Linked DNA regions of Drosophila melanogaster. The protein of the gene in region 3 purifies or fractionates together with the protein of the main gene of each other region. This does not show direct contact. Each region holds a gene or a part of one and is shown on either strand. Other genes may lie near its edges. The genes, in order: Patr-1, PAN3 and Helz.

Region 1 (8,566 bases), on a different chromosome or scaffold from region 3:
AACAAAAACAACGACCAGATAGACGCGACAATAACTCGTCATCATCGACGCGCCGGCTATTTTCGCATCTAATTGTGAGAACAGCGGCGTTTGGCGCGCCAATTGGTGGCAATGGCAATAATAGCGGCGCCCAGTGGCGCACACTTGGCCCGTTCGCAAATCAAAGTTCTGCGTATCCGCATCCGCTGAGTCCTGGTCCTGCCCAGAACTGCGGCACTGTCTGCTCCGCTCCACGGCAGAGCCAGAGTCCTGTCCTCCTGCCTGTCGTCGTGCCATTGTCGCCGTCGCCGAAGAAGCAACGACGGGCGACTGGTCGCCACAATCGTCTGTCTAAGTCTAGCCTTTGGATGCACTCGGAGAAATTGGGGAGGTTATGCGAAATCGACATATTTTAGGCGTGCAAGGATATTAGTTGAGGAACTTATTATAATTTATTATATATAAATAAACGTAATTTTGCTTAATATTTTTTTGTGAATTTAAAGAATAAATGCATAACAGCTTAATGAATAATTTATTTTATTTTATTATATCAAAATTTTCCTGCAAAACCTAATAACTTAAGAGCTCATTCGAATTGCAGAGTAAAAATTAACCCTGAAGTCACATTATTTCTCCAAGTGTACCGCATGCTCTCTGCCAGTGTGGGGTGGGATCGGGAGAGTGGGCTTCGCATCCCTTCGCGCTGGGCGGACTGCTGCCGACAAGTTGTCGTCTTGGTGACCGTCGCCAGTGGTTGGCGTCGCCGACTCAGAAATTTGCAACAATTCCCGAGCGCGCCGCCGCCACTTGTTACGCACTTTGGCGCCTCCGCACAACAAAATGTCCCTTACGGACAGGCAACTGCCGACACTTCGACGCTTGATTCTGCGCCAAAAACAAAAACAGACAGACACAAAACACGTTCGCCATTAATGATGCACCCCCCCCCCCCCCCGGCACAATTGTTTATAGAAATCAAATGATTAATATATTATTATAGAAGAAAAACCGTTTAATAGCACAAGCGTAAACACCAATTGGAAGCAAATCAATAAATTTGAAGGAAAGCTAAAAAAATCCATAAATAAAATATCATTGAAATGGACAACTAATGTGTTTTTATCAGACTGCTTACTAAACTAAATATCATCTTTTTCAAAACCCCCCCAAAAAAATAAGGTGTTTTAGTTTCGGTGTGTTCTGTGAAATGGTATTTTTTATTTATTATACTCTCGGAAATTATATCAATTTAAAAAAATTTACTTTTGAATCAGCGAACATATTTATAGGAAAAGGTTTGAAGTGTTTGTATGTGATAAATACAAATTAAACTACAATTATTGTATATGTGTTTGCAATCTTAGACAGCTATCGTATTTTGACTCTTGTTTGCTAAAAAAAAGCATAGTTTTAAAGTATTTGCAAGACGTTTGCAGTCGAGTAGAATTTTTTTCAGATACAAAACATGAATTTCAATAAAAAAAATGAATTAAACAACATTGAATGATGGTGTAGATACAATTAAAAACGAAATAAAATTAAAATGCTCCACAACGGATTTTTACAACAAATATCTATCCGTTGCGTTACAGAAGTTTTGTGAAAATTGCTGTTTTCTAATTTCAAATTTGTATTTGTGTGTTAAACTAATTCTTTCCGATCATCGGAACTTCGTTTATGTTTAAAAGTCAAAATGTATCACAATTTTGATCATTTTGTTATAATAAATACGGCTGCACCTGTCACAATGCTAATTATTTAGTACACATTTATGCTGAATGTCTCGACTATATTTAATGGGTCTTGCACAAATTTGATTCAATGAAACCCAAAAGGTAGTATAGTAAAATTTCATTAAACCGATATTTACAAATACCAGAAAATAAGCAGATACTTAAGGATGCACATTTAAATGAGTATGCATGGATCGCGCATTAAATCGGTGCTTTTAAATTTTAAAACGTATTTATGATATTCCTTTTACAATCGTGATTACAAGATATAGGAGAGCCCAGTTGTTAATTCGATGACAAAAAAAAAAAAAGAATAATTTGTGGGGTGAATTATTCTTTATAAATCTCTACAGAAAATGCCGGAAAAGTACTCCTTATCGAATATAAAATGATATAAGTATGTACAATGAGCAAAACCTACCATTCGATATTATATTTATAAAACATGATTTCCTCTCTCTACCTTTCTTGTACAGTGCACACAATTTTGGATAAAAGAACGTTTCTAACAAACTATTATCAAAATTTATTGACAGTCGAGTACTTTCTCAATTTCAGTATGAGATTTTTATACCCTGTATCAATATTTTTGTGTAGTATGCGTAAATGTAAAAACGATCGTACATATGTAAGTTTTGGATACATATTCTATACAAACATATGCGTAATTGAGTAAAGCAAAGTGAACTCGGCTATATAATTTCACAATTATTTGAAACGCTTCAATCAAGTTAAATGAAAATCCGTCAAAGCAACCTAATCAATTTGATGCCTGGCTTCAGTTATTAATGCTAAGAGTGCATCCAGTTTAAGATCTTTAAACCGTTCAAAGTGGTCCATAAGTGGCTGAATTGCATCCGACTCAATGGCTGCCGAGATGGTCTGGTTTTGAATAGTGCGATTGAGGCAGGATGCAACCTGTGCCAGAAATTCTCGCCACTTTTGCCTGTTCTCCTCGCTAAGAGTTGCGTCAGTTCGCGAGACGTAGATTTCCTCGGCGCGAAGTATCAGGGCAACCAGCGAAAGGATTCCAAACTGCCAATTTAATAATTAGTACGCGTATCTATTACTTAATACTGAGGATAACTTACGCGACTGCAAAAAATTCCAGCAAGTTTCTTGTCATTCAGCGTAATAGCAGATGAAATGCTCACTAGGAGTTCGAAAGTAGCTTTGTTAACGTGTTTTTTAAACTCTGGGTAAAGAGCGTACAAGACGCCTTCAACGTCGTCCTTGTCCTTTTTCACCACTGTTTGTAGGGAACAGAAGACGCCGCTCCACACGACCCAGCGAATGCTTTGATCCGCAATAAAGGGCATTATGCGTCTAATAAGTATCTGCAAAGGAAAGATTGATTTAAATAAAATAGTGAGTTTCATGCGTATAGCACTAGAACATAAATCGAATTCTATTTGGTTGCACTTGTTAAAATTAGTATAAGAAAAAGTACACACCTTTCCCTTGCGCACATTCATCATGGCGATAACCTTGTCGAAGGCCAGACCTGCCTTTAATTTATTGACCAACGCAGCTTTCGTCTCTACCTCATAGTTGAACTTGTTCTTTAGTTGCGGATTCATGGTTTGCGGATTGGCGGCTTCAGCAGCACGTTCTTCGGGCGTTTTATTGGCCATTTCCAGCTGCTCAAGGGCTGCGATCCGTTCGGCTTCCTTTTTCTTTTTCAGCTCAATGGTGGCCATCACTTCTGGGCTTTCCAAATCCTCCAACTTCAGCAGATAGCGATACAGTGTTTCAATCAGAAGCAAAATGTGTCGCGACTTCCGCATGCTACTGGGATTTACATCATGGCTCGCGGAGGTGGGCAGCGGAGTCGAGCTTTTTGATGAAGAAGTTGCGTTGGCTTCAGCAGCGGCATTTGATTCACCACTCATAATGTCAGCATCGATAATTTTTCGCGGAGCTGTCACACTTCCGTACTGTAGCTTTCCCAGTGAGTTCTCGAACTTCAGTGGTGAGAATATATAGCCTGTCAGGTTGTTGTTGTTACCACCTGATCCATTGTTCGTGTTGCCTGACGTGCTGTTGGTGTTCTCCGAGTTGCGTCGCTCACGTCCGTGTCCATTGCGAGTACCATTCTTGTTGCCCAACTGTACGAGAATAAGCTGCGCATGGCCGCGTGGCTGAGTAAGCGGATGATTCAACTGGTTGTCCTTGTGCGCCTGACTGTTGCGCATTTGCCCGTTCTGTTGGGCCTTGCGCTCCCTGAACACCGTGTAGTAATAGTCGTCGATATACGGCGTGTCCGTATTCAGCTGCGAAAGCTGGATTCCGATTAGCCAGTGCTTGTCGCGCGTGCTCATTAGGTTGGCATATTCATCGTACTCTTCCAGCGGGTAATTTCCTGTACCATCTGGACGTCGTCCTTGTTGCTGCTGTTGCGCCTGCGATCTCTGACGATCGCTGGCCACGGATCCTGCTCTGCTCTGTTGCATTTGGCGTACAACAGCAGCCTGTTGAAGCAGCGGATGGTTTTGCTGGATCTCTTGCACTAGTCGCATGTTGAACATGTTATACATGGAATTCGGTGGCTGCTGACCTAATAGACTTGTGGCAGCTTGCAGCGGGTGCGGCGGCATTCGCGGTGGCAGCATCTGGTGCGGATGGGGAGGTTGCATAAAAGCCCCTGGATGGATTCCAGCGGCGCGCATCGCATTGAAGCTTGGATGCATCGCGAAATTGTTCAGGGCCGTGGGCAGAGCTTGTGGATTGGGTAGAGGTCGCTGGTTGCCGCCGGGCAGTGGAAAGTTGTGCGGCATGTGCTGCTGCATTAGAGGATGCTGGGGCAATTGCGGAATATTCCCGGGCAGACCTTGCGGGTAAATAAATCCGGGCGGCACTCGGTTGCCACCAATACCGTTTAGTTGTTGCTGCGACGATGGCGTGGGCAGTAGCTCGGGTCCGGGGAAACCCAAATTTGGCCTCGGTGGAGAGGTGTGCGGCGTGCCCAAGAAGCCAGGGGGTACTGCAATGAATTGTTAAATGGTGTTATTTTCATATGTCGCAGAAATCTATCAGGGACTTGAAGTTTGTTCCTTAAATGGTTAAATCTGTCTTAAAAATTGTCCCCAAAAATAGATTCGTAAGAAATAAATATTTTTAGGAATTATACTTTTTGTTGGACATGTTTTCTTTTTAAATACTGAGGCCTGTTTTTGTATGCATCAATACTTTTTAGTTTTAATATATAATTACCCTTGTGCTGCGCTTGTTGTGGCGGCTGCTGCTGCGACTGTTGTTTCTGATGATGCTGCTGCTGCAACATCTGTTGCTGCAACATGGTTGGTGTAGGCACCTGCTGCCTGTTACCCAGACTAAAATCATCAAACATTTTGCGTTCCGCCTGTTGCTGGCTCTGCTGCTGTTGTTTCGGAATGGCCTGCTGAATGATCATATTGCGCTCTATATCCTCGAGAGTTGTAATTTTTGGAAAAGGCTGTGGATTCAGTGCAAAGTTGGCATTCGCTTCCTGCGGTGGCTTCATTTGTTGTGGTTGGTGCTGCTGATGTTGCTGCTGCTGTGGCTTGAAGGCGCTGCGCATAGGCTCGCGGAACAAATGTTGGTTGTTGGGAAACGGCTGTGATCCCCAGACCCCGGAGTCCAGCTTAATGCGGTTGCTCAGCCCACCGGCTTCGCTATCAGTGGTGAAAGAGGACAGGTCCATGTCGTCCAACTTCATGGAGGAAATGTTTAGCTCCAAGTCCGAGTCCCCTATGTGACGAGACTGTCGGAAGGGGGCATTCAAAGGGGCCGGAGTGGAGCCGCTTGAAGAGGGCGCCGATGATAGCGGATTAGCGTGTCGCAGGAAGGCACCATTTCCCTGATCGGCAAAATCCGTATTTCCACTAGATTCCGCGGGTCGCTTCCGCACCCTTTCGCCATTCCCGCCCAGGCGTACCATCGTCTCATGGGCTTCCTCCCAGTCGCCATTTATAGCGGATCCAAAGGTTTCGTCATTGAGGGCATCGTATTCCGCCTCGACGATGCGTCCATCGCCACCATCTTCGTCCTGGAGAAACAATTGAAGCAAGTAAATTAGACATTCCTACTTTTTCTGCCCCCGGTGGCCTTCGATGCCCCCTTATTTGCCGAGTGAAAAGTGTGCGTTGGGCATTTGCCGACCCCTGTGCGGCCCGCTATCCCGGATATTGCAGCCGCAATGTCGGGACCGCTGCTTACCGGTAGATTCGTGTCAAAGCCGAAAAACGAGTCATCCATGGCGATAAATCTATTGCTTTACAAAAAATTATCATGACTTGTCAGTGACAAGTTGTCACCTCAGCAGTATAGCTGTCAAAATATCGATGGTACTATCGATAGTCTGACGTCGATGGTTTTCTGACTATCGCCACAATACATCAATTTCGCTCGCATATAAATATTATCATATTACAAATGTTGGAATTAACATGCAAATTTAAAATATATATTTTTTTCATACGTTTTTTTTCAATAGGTGAACGACTGAAGATTTGTCTAAATTTATAAGTTTGCATTTTGCTACAGTGATGTTAGAAAAAAATGATGATTTAACCACTGCCAAATTTCGTATGTTGCATATTTATTTATTCAGTTTGGGACTTACCACGACTGGTTAATAAGTCAACAACATTAGATTTTACTGATCAATGAAAAATCTGCCCTAATTAAGGTGCATTTGCACTCCTTCAATGTATTCGATATTTTGAACTAGTTCGAAACTTGAAATCAGCGCCCGCAAGCTCATCCCTAAATTACTAGTTCTTGAACTATTGCTTTGGACGGAACTACGAGCCTGTTTCCTTTTCCAAAACAACTTAGTCGAAATGAAGCGGAAAACGAGCGAGATCTGGTGCTTTTTCCGGGCGGTGGACGACACGTTTGCGGTGTGTAATATCTGCAAGGCGAAGCTCTCTTACAAGACGACCACCACGAATCTAAGCAAGCACATGAACAGGATGCACCCCACATCGGGACTCAACCGGAACTCCAAGTACAAATTCCAGCCGCAGACCACCATCGCCATCGACCGGAACAAAGCCAAGCCGCGCAACTCAACGCAAGAGCTGATATTGTTAGAATTCGTGAAGAAACATCCGCGTCTGCTTCAGAATCCGACGTGGGAAACACGGGGCAATCTGGAGTCGCTGTGGGAGGAACTGTCATCCGAACTTAATAGCCACGGTCCGCCGCGAAAAGATATAGCCACCTGGAGAAGGGTATTCTAACTTACTTTTTTTCTAACCGCTTGCATTATAAGTTGATTTGTTTGTAGGCCTTAAAGGACTGGAAGAGGTTTATCCTGAGAAAGGTGGAAAAGAATGAGATGCAGAACATGCCTTTTGGCACCAGTCTTACTTCGTCGGAGGAAACAATAGCCACACTGTGTAGATTAAACGAGGATGTAAGTCAGATTATTATGAAGGTCTCCGACGATGAAATGCATGAGAATTCCACCACGGAATTTGATGTGGACGAAGTAGAGGATGTGGTCCCGGAAGAAGATGGTGGCGCCCTTCAGACTTCCGCCGAGTACGTTTACGAACCGGAGGAGAACAAAACGGACATTGACCCGCTTTACCTGCAATCTAACAAACGGGCCGCATTGGCCAGCAGTCGACTGGCGGAGGAGGAGACCACACTGCTTGACAAGATTAGCAATAACCTAGAAATGGTGCACGATACCGCCAACAGCGTTCAACTTGCACTCAATGAATTTTTTGTCCTGTACAAGCAGAAGCTGTACGAGGACAAGCGACATCACTTGGCAATTGAACAGTTAATGGCTGAGAAAATAGAACTGAAAAAGAAACTATTGGAAATCGAGCAAAAAAAGCTGTCGCTCAAATAACGGGATATGCACAAAATTAAGTAATATCTTGGTAGTCTTAATAACCTAATCTTTAAATAATCTAAGTTATTCAATATTTTGATTAATTTTATCACATTTCTTTTAGCTTGGCCCAAGCCCACTTAATATACAAATTTAATTTAATTTTTTTGGTTTTATTTTATAAATATTTAGATAATATGGCGTTGTTCATCATAGACTTGCTTTAGAATCTCTTTAAATTCCAGGGGATAAGATGCGTCGTCCATAACAGCATCGTAAACATACTCTAAATTCTGTGGGAAAGATGGTTGAATAAAAAAACAAAGCAAAGTATTAGGCACATCACTTACTGATTTGGATTCATCTGAGGAGGAAGTCTTGCCCTCTTCGGGATCACTCAACCCATTTAAGTCTCCACAGGCTATAAAAGGAACTAGACGACGGTTTACTTCCGACCCTGTTTTCTGTGCCAGTAGCCGTATATCATCGCGAGCAGGGTTAATCACTTGAGGAATGTAGCCCTCGGGAAGGCAAAAATCGGAGCAAACCACAAAAGCTTCAATGCTCGAAGGACGCGAACTCGGTGGCTTGTAGATGTCGAATTTTTTGAAAAATATCTGCATCTGGGAGCTCAATAGCGATGTGGCATTTCCCTTAAAAATCTTGGCCACAAAAGTTCCGCCAGTTTCCAGCACACAGGTGGCAATGCTGAGAGCAGCCACAAGTAACTGGTGCTGCATGTACTCGTCCATTTCATGGACCCCGGTGACATCGGGGGCTCCATCGCAGACCACCAGCTGGGCTTTTTCATTTCCACCAAAGTGACCGATGATTGCTTCGGCGGTCGACTGCTTTGTGATATCTCCCTGGAGCTGGAGTATTCCACGGATCGGGGCCATGGCCTGCAGATCAACGGCTATGATCTTAACAGCGGACTTTTCATCGTCCGTTTCGCAGGTATCGTAGAGTTTCCGAGAGAGCACCTGGGACCAGCTGCCAGGAGCAGCACACAGATCGACTG
Region 2 (6,063 bases), about 12 Mb from region 3:
CCTTCGATCCCAAATTGGTATTGCTACCGCTTTTTATTATTCGTGCAAATTATTTTTATTGAGAAATGTGAAACAGAATCTACTTGGTAAAGAATGATTGTGAAAAACACCCTGAATGTCCTAGGACATCCTGTACAATATCCTTTCGACGATCAAATATTTATGGTATAATGGGATAATATGTTAATGTTACACTGTACAAAGTCACCCTAAAGAGAGTATCCCAAGCTTCAGTGCCCGTTGGAAAGCAGCCTTTGTGCTGGTCTCATTGTTTTGGCTCTGGTTTTGGCAAAGGGCAGGGAAGCGAGGAAGTGGTTTTTCCTGCCGTACCTGTATGAGTTTCCCTGTCTCGGCCTCTCTATGACCATCTCTTTCGCAGGACAAAGAAAATGCATGAGGAGAATGCAGAGTGTGTGGAACTTGTTCCTGATCCCAGAGGGGTTGCAAGGAGCAGTAAATGGGAATCTGAGCGTTTCCAGGAATAACAAAACGATAATCGATGGTATTGCAGCGAGGAATGTACGTAATTAAAGGGAAGTGTATAGATTGTTTTGGGGCAGATTGATTATGCCAAGATTCTCTGTTCTAGGCCGCTACTCCATCCCGTCCCTATCCCTCTCTCTCTCACTCTCGCATTCTCTGCCTACTTATCTCCTTCGCCTCCTTTGTTCCTCGGTCACGTCCATGTAATTGCCAATAATCACAATATGCGCTTCGGTAGGAAAATTCAATTTACATGCCGCCAGTGGAGAGAAAAAACAAGAGAGGCGCAGAATTGAATTACAGGATGACCCCGGTGAGAACGCTTATGAAATATGCCAAAGGTGACTTTCAATTAAATGCCACCCAGCCAGAGGCGTGCGAAGGATTTAAAAAGGGGCAGATAAAATAACGTACTAACCGATCAATATAAGAAAGCTGATCTATGATTAATCACTGAGTTAAGCTCATAAACATACCAATTTTATTATTACAATCATAGAATAACTATGTATATGAACAACTTGTTTGATGGGGGGGTCATTTCACCCCGCCAACCCCTCTCCAATACGCTCCTGCCACCAGCTGTGGTTCTGCTCTTACGTTCCCTGTCTTTGCTTGTGTTTGATTTCCTTTGCTTTTCTGGCTTTGTTTTTGCTTACCTGCCGGGAAGAAATTGTTCAAGAACGTTGACATTTTTCTCTTTCGCTCCCGCCTTCGCCAATTCCTCGTGCGCTCTCTTTCTTTTCGTGGTCCTTCTCGTTTCGTTACGCTTTGTTTTTGCGTTTGTTTTCGTTTTAATGTGCACTGAGTTAAAAACTTTTTCTTGGTTTTTTCGTTTTGTTTTCGATTTTTTTGTAGTTCTTTTTAATAATTTTGTAGAAAATATTGAAACAAAAATTTAAATAATACATACAATCCGCGCTTAACTGCTAAGTTTCAAATAACACATTTTCACATTGTACGTTTCGAAAATATTTTTTTCTTTCACTTTTTCACGTAAGTTTCTTGCAGTTGAAATGCATTTTCGGGCAAATGATTAACAATTGAGGCGCGTCGACTGTAAAAAGCGAGAAAGAGAAGAACATTGAATTAAAATAAGTAACGGTAAGCGAAAAACAGTTGTTTGTTTTTGCAAAACGGGGCGACAAAATGAAATCCCGAAACGCAACAGTGAGTGGGAGTGAGAGGGCGGTATAGCTTGGATTTCATTAAATTTTCCAAAGTGAGTCTGTGTGGGTGTACGAGGACGCTTTTTCCTACACATATACAGACACAATTGCGCGCATATTTGCTTACGTTTTCCACACTTTTTTTCATTTCGCACTTGGTTACTCATATTTTTAGAGTTTTATATTTAACACCATCCAAAATACATACACACTGAACCTAAGCCAACATATTGTGTAGTTAATTGCCTGTTTCATTGTTAGCTTTTGAATTGCTTTCAGTACCGTAATTACTTTAATGAGGATATTTCCTTGAAAGGAGCTGCTGTTGCTATATTGTATACATTTTCATTACCATTTTCCAACGATTTTGCAAATAAGAAAAACGCAACACACACACCGCGCGATTGGCGCTGCACGAATGAAGAAAACGCAAAGAAGATCCAACAGCCAAGCCAAATGGAGTCCACAAACGACCCCCGAGTGTTGTATACATGTACGTCCGTCTGTGTGTGTGTGTGCACAGGAGGTCGGATAAAAACAACAACTGCCAGCTGTGTGTGCAACAAAGTGGATGTGGATTCCATTCGAGGAGTGTTGGGAAAACATCCGCGCTCAAGGGGTTACATGGACTTTAGCTATTGTTAATAATTTTAATTAACATATATATCATTTTATGCAAAGAAATTTAACAGATTGTATAAAGTCCCTCATGTTTTTCAGCTGATAAATGCTGGATATGAAATACGTATTCTTTCAAAGAGAAATCCTTTGACACGCTACTGAAGTTCCATTATTGAATATAATGTAATAAAATAACTTTTAAAAATGGCGAAACCCCTTTATGGTATTGTAACACTTCACCTTCAAGTGGCCAGGACGTTTTGCAGAAACCCTAGCAATTGGCGTTGTTATACACACATGCATATATACACAAAATAAATACATATACATATGTAAGTTTTTGGCTGGGGGGAGTTCAACAGGACCCAACAGCTGGCCACAGGTTGCGTTCCACATAGAGAAATGTGGGAGCCTGGGCTCCAAACGCGATCCACACTCCAGCCATATTTGTGGAACGCGACAAACAGCTGGCTAGGAAAAGGGGAAGAGGACGCAAAGGGGAAGGGAACGAAAAGAAGGGGAAGAGAAAAAGCAGGAGCAAAGGAAATAAGAACACATATGTATACGATTTGTTTTTTGAGTGGGAACAGCTGGAAATAATTAACTAAGTTCACTAAGCAAGCCAAAAGCCAATTTATAAGTGTAGTTTTGTTACAACGTTTTTGGAAATATTTTTATTTTAATTTTCAAAAATTTTCATAATAATTGCACGTGAATTAAAAGTCAATTCATTAAGTTTTTATTTTCATTAAAGTTTTTAATTCACCACCGAAAATGAAATTGAAGCCATCTTGGTCACCAAATTTTTAAGACGCAATTTGTCCAAATGGTTCTTATAACGCAAGCCAGATAGCAAATACGTATAGTTTTTTGTTCAACACGCCAACGATTTGTTTTTGTTATTTTTCAAATTGATGCCGCTGTTGCACACACACACACAAACACAAAAAATGCCAAACACACAGCGCACAGCGAAGTGATACAAAAATGTCTGCTGAGAAAACTGCGATTTTTCGCTCTTTAATCCACGTTTTCCGTACCTCCACTGACCAGTCATAGTTCACTTTGCGAGAGGTGACTTCATAAAGAACCTGCCGTTTGTGTTTTGTCAAACTTTTGTACATTTTAAAGACAAAATCACAATATTTAATTTCTTACATGTTTTCCGTTTGCCGCAAGCAGTGTGACCGCATCTCGCGAGTGACGAGTTCCGTACTGCCGGATATAAGGGCAGCACATTAAACACGAATGGATTCGTTTTCAATAATATACTTGTAAAATTATATATATGAAGGCAGATTTTGCTATATTATTTTAATGCTATTTTATTTTGAAATGGTTAATTTAATAATATTTGTTATTTTATTACTTTGTAAAGGGGATGGTGTCCCTGCTAACGATCAACCAGGGCTGGAGAAACACAGACAATAGAAAAACATCGATAGGCTTTGCCAATAACATCGATACGTTATACTAGTATTTTGCCTAATATAAGATTTGGTCACACCGCACAACACTCTCTAGAAAGACAACAAATTTTTTGGCGAGCGGACGTGTCGGCGGACAAAAAGCTTGCAAACAGAACAGAACGGAAGAACACAGAAGAGAACGACACGACACGGACAGCGGGGAAAGGTGGCAATTGAAAGAAAGTGCCATACTTAGTGTGCGAGCGAAAGAGAGAGAGAGCAAACTGGGTATTGCTTGTGTGTGTGTAGTAGTTTAGTGGTCGTGTGTGTGGGAGTTTGTGTACGAAGCGAGTGGCAAAGAAAAACACAACAAACATTATTCCAAGAAAATTTCCAATCATGTCGGTGGAATCCTCCAGTTCGGCGGTCCAACAGCCGCCGTCGTCCTCGAACCTACCGCTCCTGGGCGACAACCAGGCGGTGGCCACGACCAGCTCCGCCTCCTCGGCCTCTTCCTCTTCCACATCGTCGTCCTCCTCGTCGGTGGGCGGCGGCAATGTGGTGGGCGTGCCGCTGGACACGCAGGGCAGCGGAGAACCGCCGGCCAAGAAACAGTTGTTGGACGGAGGGGGCGGTGGTGCCACCAGCAGCAGCGGCAGCAGCTTGCTTTCCAGTGCCGCAGCCGCCTCGGGAATGCACGAAAAGCTGGCCCACCGCATCTCCAATGCCCTGTGCTGTGCCGTCTGCCTGGATTTGCCCAAGACGGCCATGTACCAGGTGAGTTTTTGGATTATTTACAGCGGCTTGAACTATAAGCCCTTGTAAACTAGAATCAAAAAAAGGAAGTAAGAGCTTTAAAAGCGAAAGAAGAAAAACAGCAAGTGCGCGTGTGTGTGTGCGCCTCATTCTGTATACAAACAAATCGTGGCAGCTCAGCTGTAAGAGTAAAACACCTCTCTCCCTCTCTCCACCCTAGCAAGACACAGCTGTGCGAGAGCGAGACGTCTAGCTGGGGCGCTCTTGCATTATTCGCCTTGAAAACATTGAAAGAGTGCGAGGGGGAGCGAGGGCGGGAGTTAAGTCCGTGATCGAGGGTGGAGCCTTTTGTGAAGATATGATGTGTAAATGTATGAAGGTTTTTAAGTTTCAGCAGATAGTTGTAGTGTGAAGATTTCCAATAAAGAATACGACTGACTTTCTTGAAGTTCAAAATCAGTATGAAGTTTATTGTCAGAGAGTGGCTACTCGAGTCCTCCGTTTTCGTCTTATACATAAGTACATAGGTTCTTAATTGTAAGCATAATGAACATGCCGACTCGGCATGTGGCTGGCTAGCTGGGGACAATGTTGCAGTGCGACTTTTGTGTAATGTCAGCATTCGGCCGGAATGTCAGCATTCGGCCGGATGCGGTGTTCCAGTTGCCGTCTTCCCGGTTGAGTGTCCGATGATTTGTTTAGAGGCGTGGGGGTTTAGGGGGTGGGGTGGTAACTCCTCCCCCCCCAGTTCGAAGTGACGGCCATAGCGAAGGTATGGATGACGCGTAGATTGGTACGTGATGATCCTCGTGGATGTGGACGATGTGTTTCGTTCGTCGGTGCAGCCATAAGATGACTGCTAGGAACGTTACCAATCCGAGCAGAGTGTAGAGTGTCCAGGTGTGCTGTATAGTATTGTGATGGACGGCCAGGATTTTATCCATTGTTTGGGTGGCTTCGAGGTGCAGTTTTTCTAGGCTTAGTACCGTAATAGTGGTATTCCTAGTTACTTTTCGCATGGGGGGAAGATCAAAATCCGTCTGTTCAGGGAACGTGTCAACCGTGCCGTCGTAATCGATACCGTTAATCTGTATTGTTTCGTTAATGTATCTGATGATGGCTGACCCCATTATTGAGAGCTCGGAGCCGTTTGTTAGGGATACCTTCAGTTTGTTCACGTTGAATGCGAAGATGTAACCTCTCTCTGCCTCGAACACGTCGGTGATGGGGCCGGTTTCCCGTACATCGCAGGAACTGTTTTCTCCGTTCAAAAGGTGTTCCAGGCATGTGTTGTTCTGTGGTGTATCAACGTAGAAGTTCTCGTCGCACAAGAATGTATTATCCAGTTTGGGGCATTTACGGGTCATATGAAATTTCTTATTATTAATATTATAAGCTAGGTAATTTGGGGTTATTACAAAATATGTGTTATTTATTGGTAATGGAACTAGTCTGGCGAGGGTATGAAAAGGTTGTTTAAAAATTGGGACTTTGATATTAAAAATAATCTTTTGTTCGTAATTTAGTGTATTCATTTGTAGGAAATTGTATATACTTTGTTCATTTTTGACTGTGATATTTTGTTTTTCCAGTATTGTTTTTATTTTATCCATTTCTTGTTCATT
Region 3 (6,241 bases):
TACGTGTGTTGAATCATTTAGTTAGATAGATTTTTTATTTATAAAATATATTGCCATTTAAATGTTAATGTTAATTATGCAAACATAAATGGCAATTTTGGCATTTGCAGAGGCAAATGACCTATTAAACATTGGAGGTGAATGAATGTATAAACAGTGCTTCAATCTTTTCAAACAATGCATCTCTTTACACCACATTGGCATTCTAATTATAGCCATGTCTATCAAATCATAATTCTGACGCTAACCAGAAGGTTAAAATGTGCACAGAAGGCTAGAACTGCACAACTGCCTTTATCCGATTTCAATATGCCCTATTTAAAATGCTGGCTCTGTTTTGAGCACTGAATGTTTCGCCTATTACCTCAAAATACTCACCCTCATCGCTCATGATCACCTTCTGGTGCGCCTCGGTCTGGCAGTGCTGTCGCAGTTCGTTCCTCGTCTGAAAGGTGATGGTGCAGTAGCTGCAGGTGGTCGATGGAGCCGCCTGATCGCCCTGATCCGAGCCAGATCCGTCGCCGGAGCCCGGCTGGTGTTTTCCTGCCGTGAGCTTCATGGCCGCCAGCAGATCGTTGGTCTTGTGGAGACTTGTGCTGGAACTGGACATCGTGCTGCTGCTGCCAGTTGAGGAGCTACTGCTGCTGCTCGCATAACTGCCGATTCCATTGCCATTCTGCTGCTGTTGTTGCTGCTGCTGTTGCTGCTGCTGCTCCCGCTTCTTCAAGCCCTTGTTGCTGAGCAGCTTGCTGTACTTGTCCAGCGGCAGGTTGTTGGTGGCCCAGTGATCCAGTTTGGTATCCAGTATAGCCATCTCGTCCTCGAGACGGGCGTGTGGGATCTTCAGGGCCTGCGCCTTGTGCTGCCCGTTCATGATCATCTGAATGATGGACTTGTACCGCTCAAGGGTTTTCGATATGTCCGAGTATATCTGCTGGCCGCTCAGCTCGTTGATCCACTTGCTCAGGAAGATTTCGGCATCCTGAAAGAAAGTTGGAAAAGGGTAATGATTGCATAGTTCCAGTAAATTTCAGTATGTTTGGCACATTGTTACAATCTCATACAAGGCTCATTGAATTTTAAACTTAAGTCTTGGTAAATCATATAAGCATGTGCAGTGAAATGAAAAACCTTAAAAACAAGAGCAGGGATAAGCTCTTGTAAACTCCGGATTATACGTACCCCGTACTTGTGCATCTTGAAAAGAGCGTGGACGAGCCATCGGCGTGCCCTGGACACGCTGGCCAGGCACTCTGTTTGCTCGGAGAGCAGCGTGAGCACCTTGTAGGCGTCCGCCAGACAACCCTCGAACTTTCCCAGCTCTAGGAGGCACTCGCATCGTCCCAGTAGGCAGGCGATCTGCTGGTCCTTCTGGGCCCTTGATCCTGCACTCTGGCCACCGCTTCCCTGGCCGGGACTGGGCGCAATCAGCTGGTCGTAGAGCGCCACAGCACGGGCCCAACTCCGTCGTCGGACCATGTCGTGGGCCTGCATCTCCTTCTCGGCGGCCATCGTTTACTGGCTGGTGTTTAGTGGCTCCTCCGGGTGGTCAGTCATGCATGTGTGAAGTTTTCAGGTCCTTGTCTTGATCGCTCGTCTAAGCTCTACGGTAATTCTGTGGGGATAGTTTAAAGTTGTATTCTTGTATTCTTGATCATTTTATTCAGTGAATTTATACTTACACAATTTAACAGTTTTTGTGTGGTTAATAATAAGAAATCGATTATCGTTTTTACATTAATGTTTTAGATACTTTGCGGGCATTATGTTTACTGTAAAGAAAGATGTTTGGTTTTAGTTTTTATTTTCATGTTCGTATGGCGGATATACGGCTTATTTATGTTTTTATTGTGAATTGGTTGAGTGTAATGTTTTTAGATTTGGTTATGTTATTAATGTTATGTTATATTATGTTATATTTTTGGTTTTATAGAGCACGTGTTGTTTTCTTTCGTATTTATGTTTTTAAGTAGTTATTTCTCATGTAGAGTTTACTTTCACTTAGTTATTTCAATAAAGCACATTTATTGTCTTTGGTTTATAATAGTACTATACATTAATGTATGTTGTAATCTTTAATGTTTATAATTACCGTTGTGTTCTTGAAATTTGCACACAATTTCACATCTTAAGTATTCTAGTCCTGAATTTTCCTATTGGCGATTTCACATTTTAGATTACTTTAAAGACCGGCTTGTTTGTACGGATAATTATTTGGATATTGAAGAATTGATTAAATCATCTTCGTTGACTGCCAGTAATGTTCGCTAAATCCAAAACAGAAATTGTTTATATCTCGCTTCTTATCGGTTCCCAAACAATTGTGTGTACTTAGTACAAATATACAGACGGATTTATAGAGTGCGCCTGCAACTAAGAATATATATGTATATATGTACATATGTATGATAAACAATCCAAAGTGCTGTGTCTTTATTTTTCGATTTACACAATTTTCATTCTAATTCGGTTACGCAAAATTTCATAAGAGCAATTTTCACACTCGCACCGGCACAAAAGGGGGACGGAAAACTCGGAGGAGGGTGGCATCTCGGGGGGAGGAGAATCCGGTGGAAAACACTTGCACAGAACGAGAAAATTCGCCAGCATAATTAAAAGTAATTTTCAAGTTGTTTCTTATTATTTTTCTGCTTTTTTTTTTGGTAGAGGTGCTTGCTCTCTTTTATTTTTCCTGCTACTTTTTTCGCTGCGTGTATGCGTGCGTTTTGTTGTTGTGCGGTTTTTATTTATATGCGACAATAAATGGGTATTATTTATCAGTAAATTGCGAGCGCAGTTGGCGATCAAATGCAAATTCCAGAAGTTTTGAGCGTAATGTTGATTTTTCTTGGCTTTTTTATATACATGGCCGGATTTTCTTTGCCTGACGTTGTCTTTTCAGTTGTTTGCAGGCTAAACAAAGGCACTTTTCACGAATTTTCCGATGTTAGTCTACGGTTTATGTGGCTGGTTATGGTTGAAGCGTATTTAATTGTAAATTTGCACCAAGCCCGAGAATCGAGAAGGATTTATTTTACCATTTTTCTTTTTACGTGCTGAAAACAGCAGACAGTCGCCAGTGTTGGCCAACTTCGCAAGGCACTCGCCGAGTATCGCATGTGGAAATGAATGGTGGGATCAATCATATTTTCCAGTATTTAAGAAGTGACACATGCAACACATTTAATGACGGGCAATAATAATTTAATTTCGTTTATTTTAATGCCATGTTAATTGCTCAATAAAATCGGCACAAAACATTGCACGAATATCGACAACCGTCGCTTTGCAACACCGCATGCGAACTTGACAACACTGGCGCATGTACTACACGATGATTTTGCCATCATATGAAAATATATGCGCACAATACATGCATATGACCGCATTGCACTTTTATCTGATTAGTCAGTTATTTATACGGCTCGTTAATCGTTTTGCATGCTCAGCAAGCAAAATTTACTGCGCTGAACCCTTTCCAGCGCGTTTATGGCAAGTCAGCCAGCCAGCTGTACACTTGCTGGCCAATTTGTGCGTACATTTCGGGCTTTTGCACTCTTTTTGCGTTACCTTTGCACTAAATCCTATTGTTTGTACACTACGGACTAATTCTATTTTACATGGTTAAGCACAAAACTATGAGAGAAAATGCACATCACGTCGAAAAATGTTAAAAATAAGTTATGTATGTATGAGGGAAAATTCGCGAAATGCACCAGTGCTGAGCAGCGGCGCGAAATAGTGCTGAACATGTCGCGCAGAAATCAGGGACAATCGATAGTACTGCGCCAGGAATTAATCGAATTCGAATAATGTTTACAAAGAAATGTTAATTACTAAATTATTAAATAAAACTTTGCTTAATTCAATTTTTCACGTTATAGGAGATATATTCACTTAATAGGTAAGACGTAATCAACAGTACGCTTTAAATTATATGAAAGTCAGCAGATTACAAAATACGTACTCATAGTTTTAATATTCTGTAAAGTTGTTTATTCGAAACATGTTAATTGATTTAAATACGTTGTTAACAGGCTGTTACCATGTTGTCTCAATGCTCTCGTTTGTGGGGCGGCACGTAGACTTGCTGCTGCTGCGTCTGACGATCTCCGCGGTAGCGTGAATGTTGCTGCTGCTGTAGATGCGGTTGCTGTTGCTGCAGATGCGGTTGCTGCTGCTGCGCTGAGTTGCTCAGTGGCCTGTTTTGGGCATCGGTGATGGGCAGGATGTCGACCTTCAATACCTCCTCATGGTTTCCATAGCCCATAAAGAAGACCACGCAAGTTTTCTCCGACACGCCCGTGATCTCAGCCTCATAATACTGGAAAATAAAGAAGGAATGATAAGTTAAGTTCAATAGATCAATTTGAATACTTTGTCCTACTACAATTACGAATGTACTTTCAGTTTATCGACCTAAACTCACCCTTCCATCGTCCCAATACTTGGCCATGCACAAGTCGCCCTTCTGCCACATCCACGCATCGCCTGGCACCATGCCGAACTGATCCCGTGGCGCAGCCTGTGGCACAGCCACTGGAGCAGGTTGCGCACGGGAAACAGGAGCGGAAACGGGGCCAAAGGACATGGGTGGCGATTCCTGCTGTTCCTCCTCCTGTTGTTTTTCGTTGGGCAGTGTAACACCCTGGCTCTTTAGAAGGTTCATGGCAAACTCGTTGGCCTCCTTGCTCTGGAAACCCATGATCTTGCTGGGATCGTAAGTGTAGCCATTCGCCAATTGACTGTAGTTCGCCTGCGAATTGTGCCTGGGATTGTGATGCTTTTGGTTGGTTTGAGCCTTCTCTGGCTTCTGCGAATGCAACTGTGCTGGCTGCTGCTGCTGCGTTGTTTCTGTGCCCGATCCCGCCAGGCGATTGGCTTGTCCTCCTTGCTTACGTCGATTCTCTCGCTTTGGCGCACTGCTCACCTTGAGATTAGCTGTTTCCTCGGTTATCTTACTCAAACGGGCGTTGAAATCATCGCCAGCACTATTTGTCGATTTCGCTGCAGAACTCGCCGAAGTTAAGCTTGCTGCCGGCTTGTTTCGTCTGTTGCCATTGGCGTTGCCGTTCTCTGCTCGATTGGAGCCTCCACGATTGCTGCCTCGTTCGCTGCCACGTCGGTTGCCAGTGTGGTCCTTCCCATTGGTTGTTTCATGATCTGGCTTAATCTCGGAATTCGGTTTCAACGATACGTTATCCGAGCCATTGCGATTTGCGGTTTTTACGGTTGGCGTTTCTGGTTTGTAACGTCCAGCTGCACGATCATTGAACGCTCCTCGCTCTCGCGGTGGTCTCTCCTCTTTCGGCGGTTTTTCTTCCCTCGGAGGCCTGTCTTCCCTGTAGGCTCGCTCCTCTCTTGGTGGCCTTTCGTCCCTGCCGCCACCCCGGTTACGGCCACCGCCTCGCGACGAACCCACATGTCCACCACGATGTGCGGCAAAGCTGCTCGATACGTTGTTCTCAAACCTAGAACGATCTGCAAACTTGCCGCCTCCGCCCATAGCTGAAGGTTTGCTCTCGGAATCGCTGAAGCGCGAGCTTCCATATTGCTTAAATGGATTGAAGTGATTGGTAGTGGGTGGGGCAGTCGGAGCGGCAGTTGGAGCGGCAGCGAAGGTTTCTGCATTACTAGCGGCCGGTGTTTCCTTGGCGGGCAGTTTATTGGTTAGGAAATCAAACAGCGTGGTGTTGGCAGCCGGCTTGGGTGCTTCAACTTCGTCCTTGGCGCTAGCTCCACGCTTTCCCTCTCTGGGCGGACGATCTCCGCGTCCCGGACGACCCACGGATTCGATCGGACCCACACCGCCAGCTTCACTGCGTCTTTTTAGATTGTATAGGGCGCGCTCCAAGTTGTTTCGGGTAGCAGATAAGGCACTGCGGGCCTCCTCCTCGCTGAAGCCCTTGTCTAGGATCTTCTTAACATTGTGATCGATAATGTTCTGGCCACCGCCGCCAAAGATCTTCTTGCCGCCGGCCTTGGTGGCCACGGCAATGGCCTCTGTGCGCATGGCATTGAACTCTTCGTTCTCCTTTGCCGGCTTGTCCTTGTCGCCCTCGCCCAGGCTCTTAAAGTTCATTTCGCTTTCGGCGTTGCTATCGATTTTTCGGCCAAATGCCACCCACGGGGGTGGCGCTGATGTCCCATTCAAGGGGCGCCCACTGCGCGCATATCTCATCATGGTCCTGGCCAGATCCCATTTCTCGTAGAGTGCATCCACACGGCCGCCGAGCAGCTG

What was found.
Region 1: the proteins of Helz (region 3) and Patr-1 purify together in Drosophila melanogaster (affinity purification with western blotting, with the first as the bait; one study listed by BioGRID). This does not show direct contact.
Region 2: the proteins of Helz (region 3) and PAN3 purify together in Drosophila melanogaster (affinity purification with western blotting, with the first as the bait; one study listed by BioGRID). This does not show direct contact.

What each region holds. Positions count from the first base shown.
Region 1 is NT_033777.3:17,041,035-17,049,600, reverse strand, and holds Patr-1 (protein associated with topo II related - 1), read right to left. Parts: upstream 6,038-8,566; 5' UTR 5,952-6,037; coding exon 5,913-5,951; intron 5,743-5,912; coding exon 4,929-5,742; intron 4,699-4,928; coding exon 3,170-4,698; intron 3,053-3,169; coding exon 2,807-3,052; intron 2,751-2,806; coding exon 2,472-2,750; 3' UTR 1,180-2,471; downstream 1-1,179. Other genes in the region: bdwf (bedwarfed), read left to right, coding at 6,539-6,931, 6,988-7,563; Trm7-32 (tRNA methyltransferase 7-32), read right to left, coding at 7,734-7,838, 7,896-8,566.
Region 2 is NT_037436.4:3,068,558-3,074,620, reverse strand, and holds the start of PAN3 (Poly(A) specific ribonuclease subunit PAN3), read right to left. Parts: upstream 3,489-6,063; 5' UTR 3,314-3,488; intron 2,075-3,313; exon of another isoform or gene 1,861-2,074; intron 1,541-1,860; 5' UTR 1,177-1,540; coding exon of another isoform or gene 1,143-1,176; intron 1-1,142. Other genes in the region: CG32486 (uncharacterized protein), read left to right, coding at 4,082-4,459. UniProt on the Drosophila melanogaster protein: Regulatory subunit of the poly(A)-nuclease (PAN) deadenylation complex, one of two cytoplasmic mRNA deadenylases involved in general and miRNA-mediated mRNA turnover.
Region 3 is NT_037436.4:14,787,402-14,793,642, reverse strand, and holds the start of Helz (helicase with zinc finger), read right to left. Parts: upstream 3,709-6,241; 5' UTR 3,571-3,708; intron 3,093-3,570; exon of another isoform or gene 3,039-3,092; intron 2,207-3,038; exon of another isoform or gene 2,093-2,206; intron 1,773-2,092; 5' UTR 1,683-1,772; intron 1,616-1,682; 5' UTR 1,513-1,615; coding exon 1,183-1,512; intron 983-1,182; coding exon 379-982; intron 1-378. Other genes in the region: Tdrd3 (tudor domain containing 3), read right to left, coding at 4,055-4,324, 4,430-6,241.